Linked DNA regions of Rattus norvegicus. The protein of the gene in region 2 binds, or shares a complex with, the protein of the main gene of each other region. Links are inferred from orthologs where the notes say so. Each region holds a gene or a part of one and is shown on either strand. Other genes may lie near its edges.

Region 1 (4,173 bases), on a different chromosome or scaffold from region 2:
CAATAAACGACTGGCCAGGCCCGACAACTTCAAAGCTCAGCAGGGGCAGAGTGGAGGGGCTGTGGGACAGGCAGGTTGAGGCTGAGGAGCACCTACCTTGGCCATGTACTCTGTGACGATGTAGAGCCCACCCTTCTCCTCCACAATCACACCCAGTAGCTGGACTAGGTTGCTGTGCCGAAGCTGCCTGTGGCAGGACAGGGTGGTCAAGAGTTCAGCTTGCCCATCCCCCGCCACACTCCACCCAGGCGGCCTGCTCTTATGTCCAGCCCAACTCACGTCATGACAGAGGCTTCAGCCAGGAAGGCCTGGGCTGTAGCATCATTCTTAATGCACTTGACTGCAACTTTGTTGCCTCGGTAATCCCCCAGCATCACATCTGTGGGAGAAGCAGGGGTTGTTTCCTGGACTCTTGGGGCTCCCCCACCTCATCCCCCCACCCCCACTCCCTCAACTCACCTCCAAACTCCCCCTTTCCTATCGTCTGTAGCAGCTTCAGTTCCTTCATGTTCAGGGCCCAGCCACCTGGGGACAGGGACCAGGAGGGAGGCGGTGTGTCAGGGAAGTGAACAGCTAATCTGAAGCACTTGAGATGATAGGCACAGGCTAAACTGTTTTAGATGTGGGTGTCTGGGGTTTCCAAGCCTCTAGGGTAAGGGCAGAGGGCCCGGGTGAGGGGAAGTGGGCAAGTGGGAGATCGGAGACATTGTGCACTCACTGCGGTAGAATTCATCTTGGGCCGCCACTGTGCCCTCCATGACCTTTGGTTTGATGAGGCGAGTGCAGAGTCCGTCGGCATCTGTGGTGTAGTGCTGCAGAGGTGGGGCAGGCCCTCAGAACCAGACCTACTGGGCCCCATTTCTCATTGACCCACGCACTGTTCAGGTCTGACCACCAGAGGGCAGCAGAGGCCATTCCACACAACCTTGAGCTGCTTTGTGCGGAGAGGGTTCCTCATTTCGAGAAGGGTATAATGCCTGTCCATTTCCCACATCGCCCTATCCACACTCAGCTCCTGGACTCCCAACTGCCACTACTGCTTTGGGCCTCACCAATATCTCAAGGTAGATAGCAAAACCTGCCTGCTCCCTATACCAGCCTCTACCAGGTGTACTCAGGGCCAATGTAAGCCAGAGATGAGAACGAGCTTGGAGGGAACCTATAGGTATCTGATGCCAGATATGGCCTGGCCAGAGCTGGGTGGAGCTGCTGTTGGAAGCATCAAGGACCTGTGAGTCTCAAGGATCCTGACGGCAGTGTGCAACCCAGAGGCTCTGAGTGCTGGAAGAAGTGAGTTCCGGATCACACGAGTGCTTCCCCTGCACAGATGAGGGGACCTTCACTGATCTGAACCTTTGTGTCCTTATCTATAAAATGGGGATACCACCCTATTTGTGGGCCTTTGGGGACAGAACTGAGCTCTCTCACACAGGTGGTGCTCCACACATGTGAGGAACCTCAGACTCAAAGAAGCCATCAACATGTCCAGGTCACCCTGCCAGGTGAGCTGGGTCTGGGTTTGTCCTAAGTGTCCTCAGGTAGACTCAGGCGCGAGTGTACGAGAAGGGGGCTCACCCCGGGCAGGCATGTTCCCCACTCACCTCCACCAGCTGCATGAGGTTCTCGAAGTACACCTCCTCATCAATGCTCAGCTTGCTCGCGTGATACATGATGCGGTAGTGCTCCACCTTGCCTTCACAGCTCACACACAGTGTGTAGTCCCCAGGGTAGTTGGTGCTTTCCCGCACCAGGAACAGGCCTGTCTCTGGTGGGTAGAGAAGCCGCTCCGCCTGCTCCCGTGTGATCTTGCCGTGGAACCAGCTACGGGTGGCAAGGCTGGGCGTCACCAGGGTGCTGACCCGGAAGCTTCCGCCAGCCTCCTGCACACACCTTCCCAGAACTCCCAATCTAAGGGCGTCATCTTCTTCCTGTACCCCTTTTTTCCTTCTGCATCCATTAGCTCCAGCCTCTGGCCCCATCCCTAGAACGCCCTCACCTCACAGCCCTAACTCAGGGCTGTTTTGCTCTGATGCCTTTCCAGGAGGACCACTGCCATTTCCTCTTTCCCCCAAACCAGGAGACTGCAGCCCTCCGTCCTCTTGGTACTCACGGCATAAGGCTGAGCTTGGTGCCTGCCTTCACACCCTCACGCTTCTGGACATAGTTGGCTGGGATGATGCCCTCACGGCCCACTTTGTTTTTGGCTTTGTACCAGTTGGGGTCCTGGAGAGAGAACAACACAGACACACTCTGAGGCCTGCCTCCCTCGGCCAAGCAACCAAACCCAGAAGAAACCCCTGGAGGTGATGGGACAGGCATCGTAGGTCCCAAGTACCTTGGTGACAGCCACAATGGTGAGCACATCTCCTTTGCAGAAGGGAAGGTCTTGCTCGGCAGTGCCATGGAAGTTGTACTTGGCAATACATTCTGTACCGGATGGCCAGGAGGCCTAGAGGATAAGGGACAGGTGTCGGTGCAGCCTGGGGAGCTTCTCTACCAACCTGCCCGAATGCCCCTGAGACCAAAGCATCTTAGCTAACCTCCATGAACCTGGGGAGATAACTTCTCCAGAGAGTTCTCAGCCCTTCTAGCTCAAATTCCTCTGTAGCCCTCTCTGGGGCCCTGTGCCCGACAGAGCACACTGGAATTAGTGTTACTTCACACAAAGTCCTGACTGGGATGGAGGGTTGGGCATGGTTGGAACAAGCTGCTCTTAGTACCTATTCTTTGTCTGGCCTGGGGAGGGCAAGACATGGGACCACAGCCTCACGATACCTGTATAGCCGACATCTTCTGAGATCTGGCGTCCCCGTGCTACAGGAAGGCCGGTCTGTTACTTGGTACCATTAGAGCTGCGGGAAAAGAATCAAGTTGAAGATGAGATGACCCCCACCCTGACTGTGATCATCACTTCTTCCTTAAAGGAGTGCAAGCCGTGGTCCGTGACATGTGGGTCCTGGGCTGTTCTAACCAGCCTCAGGTAGACACACACAGACCTAAGAGTCCCAGAGGGGTGCCTACCAGTCCTTACAGGCCCCACAGAATGACCAAGAAGGCCAACGAGGCCGGGAAGACTAGAGGGGAGGAAGTCCAGGGAAACTCTGAAACCGGGCAGGTGCTATGTGGTCCAGGAAAGCTTGTCCTGAGGCCTCTATACAGACAAATGTCTGTGTTTCCTTCTCAGCACACACCCAACAGAAAAGAGCCCGTGTCTACCAGGAGGGGCAGGTGCTCTCCCTGGTGTGCTTTATAGTAACTGGCAGATCAGGAACTGCCCAAGTGCTGAAAATAAAGTAGACAAGGTAGGGAGAAGTCACACAAGGCAGGCAGGGCCCTTCTGTGATCACACGGTTAGATGGCAGGCCCACCTGAGATGGGACAGGTGAGGTCTAGCCTTTACTTTATAGCTATGTATACTACGAATGGAAGAGGACTTTCAGCGTGAGTGCTGTTATATATGAGCAAGTGCATGCACACCTGCACGCACACACATATGCAGGAAGCACAGAAGCTGAGCCCTTAAGACTTCAAAAGGTAGAGGATGGGAGCCAGGGATTGACCTTAGTGAATGGTGGTTCCCTGGAATGCTCAACAAGGCTCTAGGTTCAAACTCTAGTACAAGGTATGGATCTGTACGTTTTAAATCCATGAGCAATCAAGCAAATAAATATTTGTTAGAAAAGCAGAGGGAAGAGGGTGAGGCAGAGGGATGGCTAGTTGGAGGCCAGCCTAAGCTATATGGTTAAAAACTTGTTTTAAAAGAAAATGGCCAGAAAAAATGACATAGAGAAGCTTAGGATATTAGGATATTAGCTTCTATTAGATATTAGGATATTAGCTTCTATTAGATATTAGGATATTAGCTTCTATTAGATACATGCACACAAAACACCAACACACATAAAAATGAATGAATGAATGAATGAATGAAGGAAGGGAGGGAGGGAGGGAGGGAGGGAGGAAGGAAGGAAGGAAGGAAGGAAGGAAGGAAGGAAGGAAGGAAGGAAGGAAGAACTGGCCTGGGTAGAAGCTGATGAAGCAAGGCTGAATCAATCTGGGCCTCTGTGACCCTCGACTTGCTGAGCCTATCCCAAGCACCCTTGTCTGTCTGCCGTATGAGAAGGGCTCCAGTGGCCCTGGCATGAACACTGTAGGGTAGCAAGGAGCTTCCCT
Region 2 (3,644 bases):
GTCTGCAAGGGCAGCAAGTGATCTTAACCTCTTAATCTCTGGCCCCAAGAATGCATTTTGAAGATGAATACAGTTACTTATAATTTTCACCGTGATTTAGAGCAGTGGTTCTCAACCTTCCTAATGCTGTGACCCTTTAATACAGTTCCTCATGTTGTAGTGACTCCAACCATAAAATAATTTTCATTGCTACTTCAAAACTGTAATTTTGTGGTTAGCATTGTAATATTTGGGCTTTCTTGTGGTTTTAGATGACCCCCATGTAAGGGTCACTGGACCCCCAGACAGGTCCCACAGGTTGAGAACCACTGATTTAGAAGCTGGTGTTGTCTTAGAAAAGGCTGATTGGTGTAATTCAGAACGATTTTACATGGGGTGATCAAATGTCGGACCAGGCTTAATAGATGTTATCTGAGGTTTTATAAAATAAAATAATTTAGAAAATTAAAAGCCCATATTTTAAATTTCTCATTTCCTAATAGACATAAAAACTCCTCTCTCTCTTGCTTTTTTGCTCCTGCTCTGTCCCCTTTCTCCTGCTCTCCCGGGGACCACACTTTAAGAACAAGTGAGGAACTAACCCAATTATATGACAGGGTAGATTTACAAGTGACTCACTTCATAAGAGAAAATGAGTTGTGAAGATGTTCCGAAAAGTGGAATTCTGCAACCCTGATACAGGCAGTAAGAAAATAGGAAGTGCTTGCTGGGAAACTCACCCCATCTTTCAGCAACATCCATGTATAATCAACAGCACAAATGACCCCCGTCCTTCCGCAGCCGGCACTGAAATGGGAGATCACAGCATGTGTATTTGCTGACAGAGATAACGGACAATGGTTGGAAATCCCATAGCAGATTTGAAGAGAAAGAAAATGAAACTTCCTATCCTACCACATCCTAGAACCTGTTCTGTCATGCCACGGTGGACCTTAGACAGGTATTGGCAGCCTCTCAGCAGAGTTTCCAGAACGAATGCTCATAAGTAACTTAAGAGAAAGTTTCGGGCCAGCAAATGTCTCAGCGAGTAATAACTCATGGTGCCTTTACCTGAAGATCCCAGTTCAAGCTCCAGAACCCACATGTGGAAGGAGACAACCTCCCCAAAGTTTGTTTACATCCCCACATGTAAGCTGTGACGCATGCACATGGGTGCACATATGTGCACACAAACACACAATAACAATGTAAAGGTATTAATTTAATGTACCAGTTGGATTTATAATAGATTGTTTCAACTCTTGACTTTCTCTTTGAATTGCCTCTCAGCCAGAGCCTCTACTGTTTTCTGTTTTTGCTGTTGCGGTGGTTGTTTTGTTCTTGGTAAAGGCTCATTCCCTGCACCTTACCTGCAATGAATGCATAGAGGAACGCAGTCGTCTTCTTGGTAACACCGCATATCCCAGATGAGCTGAAGGATAGGGTCTATAGAGGAAGGCACATCATGGTCCGGCCAATTCTTATAATGAAACTGGTAAACAATTCGAGTTTCCTATTTTAAAAAAATTAACGAGAATAAGAGAAGAACTTGAGGTTAGGATTCTACCTCATTCTCCCAAAATAATAATCTGACTAAGCACTACCTATAACCTTTTTAATTTTTTTCTCCTGTCCTCTATATAGCTCTCAAGCCTTATGAAATATGAGGATGTTTTCCATTTTCTTATCCCTAACAACCCCACCCACACAAAAGGAGATAGACATGGCCATAGCCAACCAAATCTCCCTCAAATTAGAGTGTCCCAAGTAGGTCTCAGACATGTTGATATATTGAATCCCCTTGCCTTTTTGCAAGTCAGAGTAGAGAGAGTCTAAGGCATCAAGTTGGTCCTTAGAGTCTAACCACTGTTCATATAACCTCTATTCATATTACCAATATCAATTTTTATGTGCCACAGTGTGAAACAGATTAGGGGCAGAGTCTATTATGAGTATGAAGACCTACTCAAGACATCAAGGGCCCTGCGCCCCCCATGGCCCCATGCCTAGCCTGAGTCGCTCTCTCTCTCTCTCTCTCTCTCTCTCTCTCTCTCACACACACACACACACACACAGAGTTACCCGTCTCTCTCATCTCTTTGGTTTATTATTCCTGCTCTATACTTACACTATTGAACTTGGCTTTCAGAGTCCTGATTTTATAATCAGATTTCTTTTTCTCAGTTTCCTAAGGAGAAAATTAAATTATTAGCAATTTCAAAGGCATGCTTTCTAAAAAGCTTAGCCATAATAGAAACACATCATACTCACACAGGATATAGAAAAGGGGCCAAATTGCAGCTGTGTTTCTCCTGGCTCAGCCCAATAACGCTCACACTTTTTCTGTTGCATAAAAGAGAAGGTAATGGTTTCCCACCATATAGTTTAATCCCTCCTACAAAATGAAACCCACTCCCTCATTCAGAGCAGCTCTGTGTTCTTCATCTTAGGCTAGGCACAGCTAACCACCTCGGACTTCAGCTCCAACAACATGATAGGGAATCTCCAAAGGATAAAAGACAGACATTAAAGGATGTCTGAATTACAGACTTCCTAGAGCCTGAAAAAGTAGACAGCCATTGTTGACCTATTTTCAACATCTCAGAAGAAGGAGGAGGAGGAGGAGGAAGAGGAGGAAGAGGAGGAGAGGAAGAGGAAGAGAAGGAGGGGAGGAAGAGGAAGAGGAGGAGGGGGAGGAAGAGGAAGAGGAGGAGGGGGGAGGAAGAGGAAGAGGAGGAAGAAGAAGAGGAAGAGGAGGAAGAAGAGGAGAAGGAGGAAGAGGAGGAGGAGGAGGAAGAGGAAAAGGAGGAGGAGGAGGAGGAAGAGGAGGAAGAAGAGGGGAAGGAGGGGAAGAAAAGAAAGAAAATTGAAATCGTTGACTAAAACAGCCGCACCAGCTAAGTGCCAGATTCCCTCGATTGTGATTAGAATTCCCAACCTGGAATAGCAGCACTAGATTAAAACAGCAATGCAGTCACATGTTTAGGTTTAAATATCACATTTAAAAATGAATACAGGTGAAATTTATTTTAGCCCAATATGCCAAAATAGTTAACATATGATCCAGTGTACAATAATAGTACATATTTGCTTGCCCGGTTATTTTAATAAAAATTAAAATCCTATGTATATTATATATATATGTATATATATATGTGTATATATATATATAACACACCTTAAGTAGAATACTAAATTTTCACAGGAAACATTTTTATTTATAGTAAATCAAGTTAATATTTGGAAAAATTTCACATACCCCAAAATAAAGTTTTCTCTTTTTTAAAAGATTTATTTATTTATTATATATAAATACACTGTAGCTATCTTCAGAAGAGGACATCATTACAGATGGTTGTGAGCCACCATGTGGTTGCTGGGATTTGAACTCAGGACCTCTGGAAGAACAGTCAGTGCTCTTAACCACTGAGCCATCTCTCCATCCCAAAAGAAAGTTTTCAATAACTGAAGTGAAGGTTCATTTTTAAAACAGCAATGCAGTTTAACTAATTAAAATAAAACTATTGACTCCTTTCACCATGCAGAGACTCAGCTACATGTGGTAGTGTAGCCCAGCATCTGATTATCAGAAAGGAAATGGTACTCTTTTCTCCCTTCCTTTCTTTAACAGGCGCTATGAGGAAAAATGGATAAAAGGGATTCTC
Region 3 (3,644 bases), on a different chromosome or scaffold from region 2:
AGGTCCTCCTGGAGGAAGTGCCTGTGGGGAGGGTGTGGGGCAAAGCGTTAAAGGAGCCGATCACCCAGCAGTTTGAGTTCTTGAGCTCCCCTGACGTATAACAGCTACTCCATAACCCACAGCCTGCCACATCGGAAAGTCCCAAGCCCTGAGTAAAGTCCAGAAGGTTCTCAGAGGAAAGGCAGGAGCCGCCAGGACTTACTTCATCTCTGTCTGGCCACCAGCTTTGCGCGCAATCTGCACCAGCTCCTTCCCGTACCTCTCCTCCGCCTGGGCCCTGAAAGGACAGAGCAAGCGCTGTCATTCACCCCTGTCGGCTGGCCGTAGCCCCAAAATATGTGCAGAACCCAGGTTCTCTCATCATACTTTGCCGGCAAGACCATTCCCTGAAAAAGTTGAGCTCCATTTCTGGGGATAAATGTCAATTGAAAACGGGCCTCTCCTAAGGGCTGCGGCAGGGGATCTGCCTAAGGGCCACGGAAGACAAGTGGCTCTGGCTTTGTGTGTGTGTGTGTGTGTGTGTGTGTGTGTGTGTGTGTGTGTGAGAGAGAGAGAGAGAGAGAGAGAGAGAGACAGAGAGAGAGACAGAGAGAGACAGAGAGAGAGAGAGACAGAGAGAGAGAGACAAAGAGAGAGAGACAGAGAGAGAGACAGAGAGAGAGAGAGACAGAGAGACAGAGAGAGACAGAGAGAGAGAAAGAGAGAGAGAGAGAGAGAGAGAGAGAGGAGAGAGAGCGCATGAGTGCAGGTGCATAGGTGCACATGTGTGCATGAGTACACAATGCACCCGTGGGGGTCAAAGGTCAACTTTTCTGCCCCTTCCCCTCTAAAATTTCGTACATGACTACACTATATTTTGCAGAGACAGGGTCTCTTGGCTATGAGCTTCAGTGGAGTCTCCTGACACTGGATCCCTTTTTCCTACAGAAGGGGACTTGAACTCAGATCCCCACGTGTGCTTAATAAGTGACTTACCCACTGAGCCACCTCCTCACCTTTGGCTCTTGGCTTTTGACCCATCCCGAGGGCAGCTGGGCTCTAGGGAGCGTAGTCTGCCCCGTCTGCCCTGACCGCCAGCCCGGCCATGCTTACCTCTGTCTGAGCAGCTCCTCCACATCCTTGCACATCTTCCTGCCGTCCAGCAGCCTCTGCAGGAGTACCTCATACCCTGTGTGGGCCGTGAAGTCCCTGCACTGAAACACACACAGGACATCGTGAGAGCCCTGCTGAGAACAGTCTCTCTCTGTCCTCCATGTCCCTGTTCAAGGTGGAGCATAGATCAGGGCCCAGCCTCACCCAGAACCACCGCTGTCTGGGCAGGGGCTGCTGAGCTTGGCATCAGCCCTCCGGAGTCGAAGACACAAGTCACTGGATGGACAAGAAGGACCTCACTGAGCCTCCATGATGGCCGCAGCCCCCCAGTTCTCTCTCGTGGAATGCCCTTGTGATATTATGTCATTAGCTAGTGAGGAAGAGGGTTCAGGAAGTAAAAGTGACAAGCAGATGGTTGCAGAACACCAGCTGCCTGGCTCACAGTCTGCAGCACCCCAAGCTGTGAGTCATCTCTTAACCGGGGGTGAAAGGACATCTCTGGGAATTCTGGGAAGCAGCTGGCCTGTGCCTAGGCCTTGCTCAGACAATCCAGGTGACCCCTGACTAACTTGACATCCATGTTCCCCACTAGTGGGTTCTGAGCACGTCTGAGCAGACAAGTGTGGGCAACCAGAGGACAGAGGAAGAAGTCCATGGAAGCTCCTGCTGCAGCTCCCCTGGGTCCCTAATGTGTGGCTGACTCCAGGCAGTGGGGCACAAATCCTGGAAGAGAGTGGGGGACATCTGTCTCCCTTTGGAGGCCTCATCGACTCTCCACCCTTGGGTGGTTAGGAGAGATCTGGCACCTACCTCATCTGTCTTTTTTGTTCTCTCGGATCCTCTCAAAGCCCCCGTGATTGAAAGGAACCCCAGCCCCAGCTTCCCTGAATGCATATCCGAAACCACCCACAGAGCCTGGTCAGAGGTCAACAAGTCCCTCAGGGCTTATCCACACTTAACCTGACTCTTGCCCATGCTCCCCTCAAACTATGAGAGTGTGGGAAGCACGATGGAGTTAAAATCAAGAAAGGGGGGGGTTGGGGATTTAGCTCAGTGGTAGAGCGCTTGCCTAGGAAGCGCAAGGCCCTGGGTTCGGTCCCCAGCTCCAGAAAAAAAAAAAAAAATCAAGAAAGGGGCAGAAAGTATGGCTTAGAGATAAGGTTGCCTACAATCCACGAAATCCTGGCTTACATCTCCAGGAAGCTTCCTGCAGGGGGCGCTTGGCTACATTAAGGTCTACAGACAATCAAATGTTGGGAAGAGTACAGAGGCCTACGTAAATGGTCTCCACACTCAGCCAACTTGGAAATGTTGAACCTCTGGAAGATTTCAGCTCCTAAGCTCACATCCCCTTCTTTGAGCAGCCTTGCAGAGAGCTGGGCCAGGACTCCTGCACACAGGCCACCGACACATAGATCTAGGCCTTAGCTGCCTGCCTGAGACCCCAGCCTGAGAGAGTTGGCCCTGCGACTTGCTGCAGGCCCATTTGAGGTAGGTATCTCCCAACGCTGAGTCTAGTCTGCACCATCCTGAGCCAGACTCCTTTAGTTTAAAATCTTTTAAAGGGCAGCCACTTCTTTGTGAGCTAAGATCAGATTCTCACTCTCGGCCTCTGCCTCCCCTGGGGACTCCCAGGTCAAGGCCTGTAGCAGCATGGAAAAAATGAGTCAGATGCCACAGACCCCACCCCCCCACCCCACCTTTCCCCGTGAGGTCGCTGAACTGGATGTAAGCATTCAGGCCATAAAACCACAGACCCCAGACTGTGAAGGATCTGTCCAGTGTCCCTCAACCCTTAAGAAAATGAGACCCAGGGCTGGAGAGGTGGCTCAGTGATTAAGAGCACTGGCCGCTCTTCCAGAGGTCCTGAGTTCAATTCCCAGCAACTACATAGTGGCTCTGTAATGGATCCAGTGCCCTCTTCTGATGTGTCTAAAGACAGCAGTGGTGTATTTACTATCATATATGTAAAACAAATAAATAAAATTTTAAAAAGAAAGTGAGCCCCAAAGGAAGGAAGGGCTTCCCTGGGGCCATATTACAAACTAGAAGCTAGACCTCCTCAGGGGCCTGTTTCTCTGCTGTGCCCCTTAGGAAAACTTGCAGCGAAGGCTACCAAAGTCTGTTTCCTGCCCCCATGCCCACCCAGTCCTGACTCTCTCGAGGGATCATTTTGTCCTCTGAACCCCAGAGAAGAAAAGGAAAAGCAAACCAGACTTACACCTGCCATGCTGGAGAACAGAAAAGGCAGAAAGGCCCTCTGTGGCCCAGGTCTTCAGGCGCTAGAGTCCCCACGGCACCTGCCGTAAGCCAGAGACTCTCGTCCAGCCTGTGTGCCGCTGTGGCATCAGACAGAATGAGCCATAGTCACAAGTGACCCAGCTGTTCTAAGGAAGTGTCTAGTCCCTCAGAGCTGCCTGTCTTGCCTCCCATCCCTGCCCACTCCTATTCCCCTCCTCCTTCCCCCTCACACCAACCACCTCTGATAGACTTTGGTAGAAAAGAAGCATTCAGTCAGAAGTCCACAGTCTATCCAAGGCAGAGTCACCCAG

What was found.
Region 1: the proteins of Ptpn22 (region 2) and Csk are in contact, whole or in part, in an NMR structure (PDB 1JEG), measured with the Mus musculus proteins. The link is inferred for Rattus norvegicus from reciprocal best matches to the Homo sapiens genes PTPN22 and CSK. Residues at the interface, in NP_033005.1 of Mus musculus: Pro614, Pro615, Leu616, Pro617, Glu618, Arg619, Thr620, Glu622, Ser623, Phe624, Ile625, Val626, Val627; in NP_001291690.1 of Mus musculus: Phe20, Thr23, Gln26, Ala40, Val41, Thr42, Lys43, Asp44, Asn46, Trp47, Ile59, Pro61, Asn63, Tyr64.
Region 3: the proteins of Ptpn22 (region 2) and Pstpip1 are in contact, whole or in part, in a crystal structure (PDB 7AAM), measured with the Homo sapiens proteins. The link is inferred for Rattus norvegicus from reciprocal best matches to the Homo sapiens genes PTPN22 and PSTPIP1. Residues at the interface, in NP_057051.4 of Homo sapiens: Ser793, Lys794, Pro795, Gly797, Pro798, Arg799, Asn800, Pro801, Pro802, Trp805, Asn806; in NP_003969.2 of Homo sapiens: Thr225, Arg228, Asn229, Trp232, Asn236, Ser239, Met240, Cys242, Val243, Asp246.

Annotation. Positions count from the first base shown.
Region 1 is NC_086026.1:66,927,438-66,931,610, forward strand, and holds the start of Csk (tyrosine-protein kinase CSK), read right to left. Parts: upstream 2,838-4,173; 5' UTR 2,791-2,837; coding exon 2,776-2,790; intron 2,450-2,775; coding exon 2,336-2,449; intron 2,224-2,335; coding exon 2,111-2,223; intron 1,822-2,110; coding exon 1,602-1,821; intron 813-1,601; coding exon 719-812; intron 526-718; coding exon 460-525; intron 380-459; coding exon 280-379; intron 188-279; coding exon 97-187; intron 1-96. UniProt on the Homo sapiens protein: Non-receptor tyrosine-protein kinase that plays an important role in the regulation of cell growth, differentiation, migration and immune response.
Region 2 is NC_086020.1:194,072,125-194,075,768, reverse strand, and holds part of Ptpn22 (tyrosine-protein phosphatase non-receptor type 22), read right to left. Parts: intron 2,323-3,644; coding exon 2,251-2,322; intron 2,168-2,250; coding exon 2,108-2,167; intron 1,493-2,107; coding exon 1,350-1,492; intron 787-1,349; coding exon 720-786; intron 1-719. UniProt on the Homo sapiens protein: Acts as a negative regulator of T-cell receptor (TCR) signaling by direct dephosphorylation of the Src family kinases LCK and FYN, ITAMs of the TCRz/CD3 complex, as well as ZAP70, VAV, VCP and other key signaling molecules.
Region 3 is NC_086026.1:65,419,540-65,423,183, reverse strand, and holds part of Pstpip1 (proline-serine-threonine phosphatase-interacting protein 1), read right to left. Parts: intron 3,513-3,644; exon of another isoform or gene 3,323-3,512; coding exon of another isoform or gene 3,314-3,322; intron 1,194-3,313; coding exon 1,093-1,193; intron 278-1,092; coding exon 203-277; exon of another isoform or gene 1-202. UniProt on the Homo sapiens protein: Involved in regulation of the actin cytoskeleton. May regulate WAS actin-bundling activity. Bridges the interaction between ABL1 and PTPN18 leading to ABL1 dephosphorylation.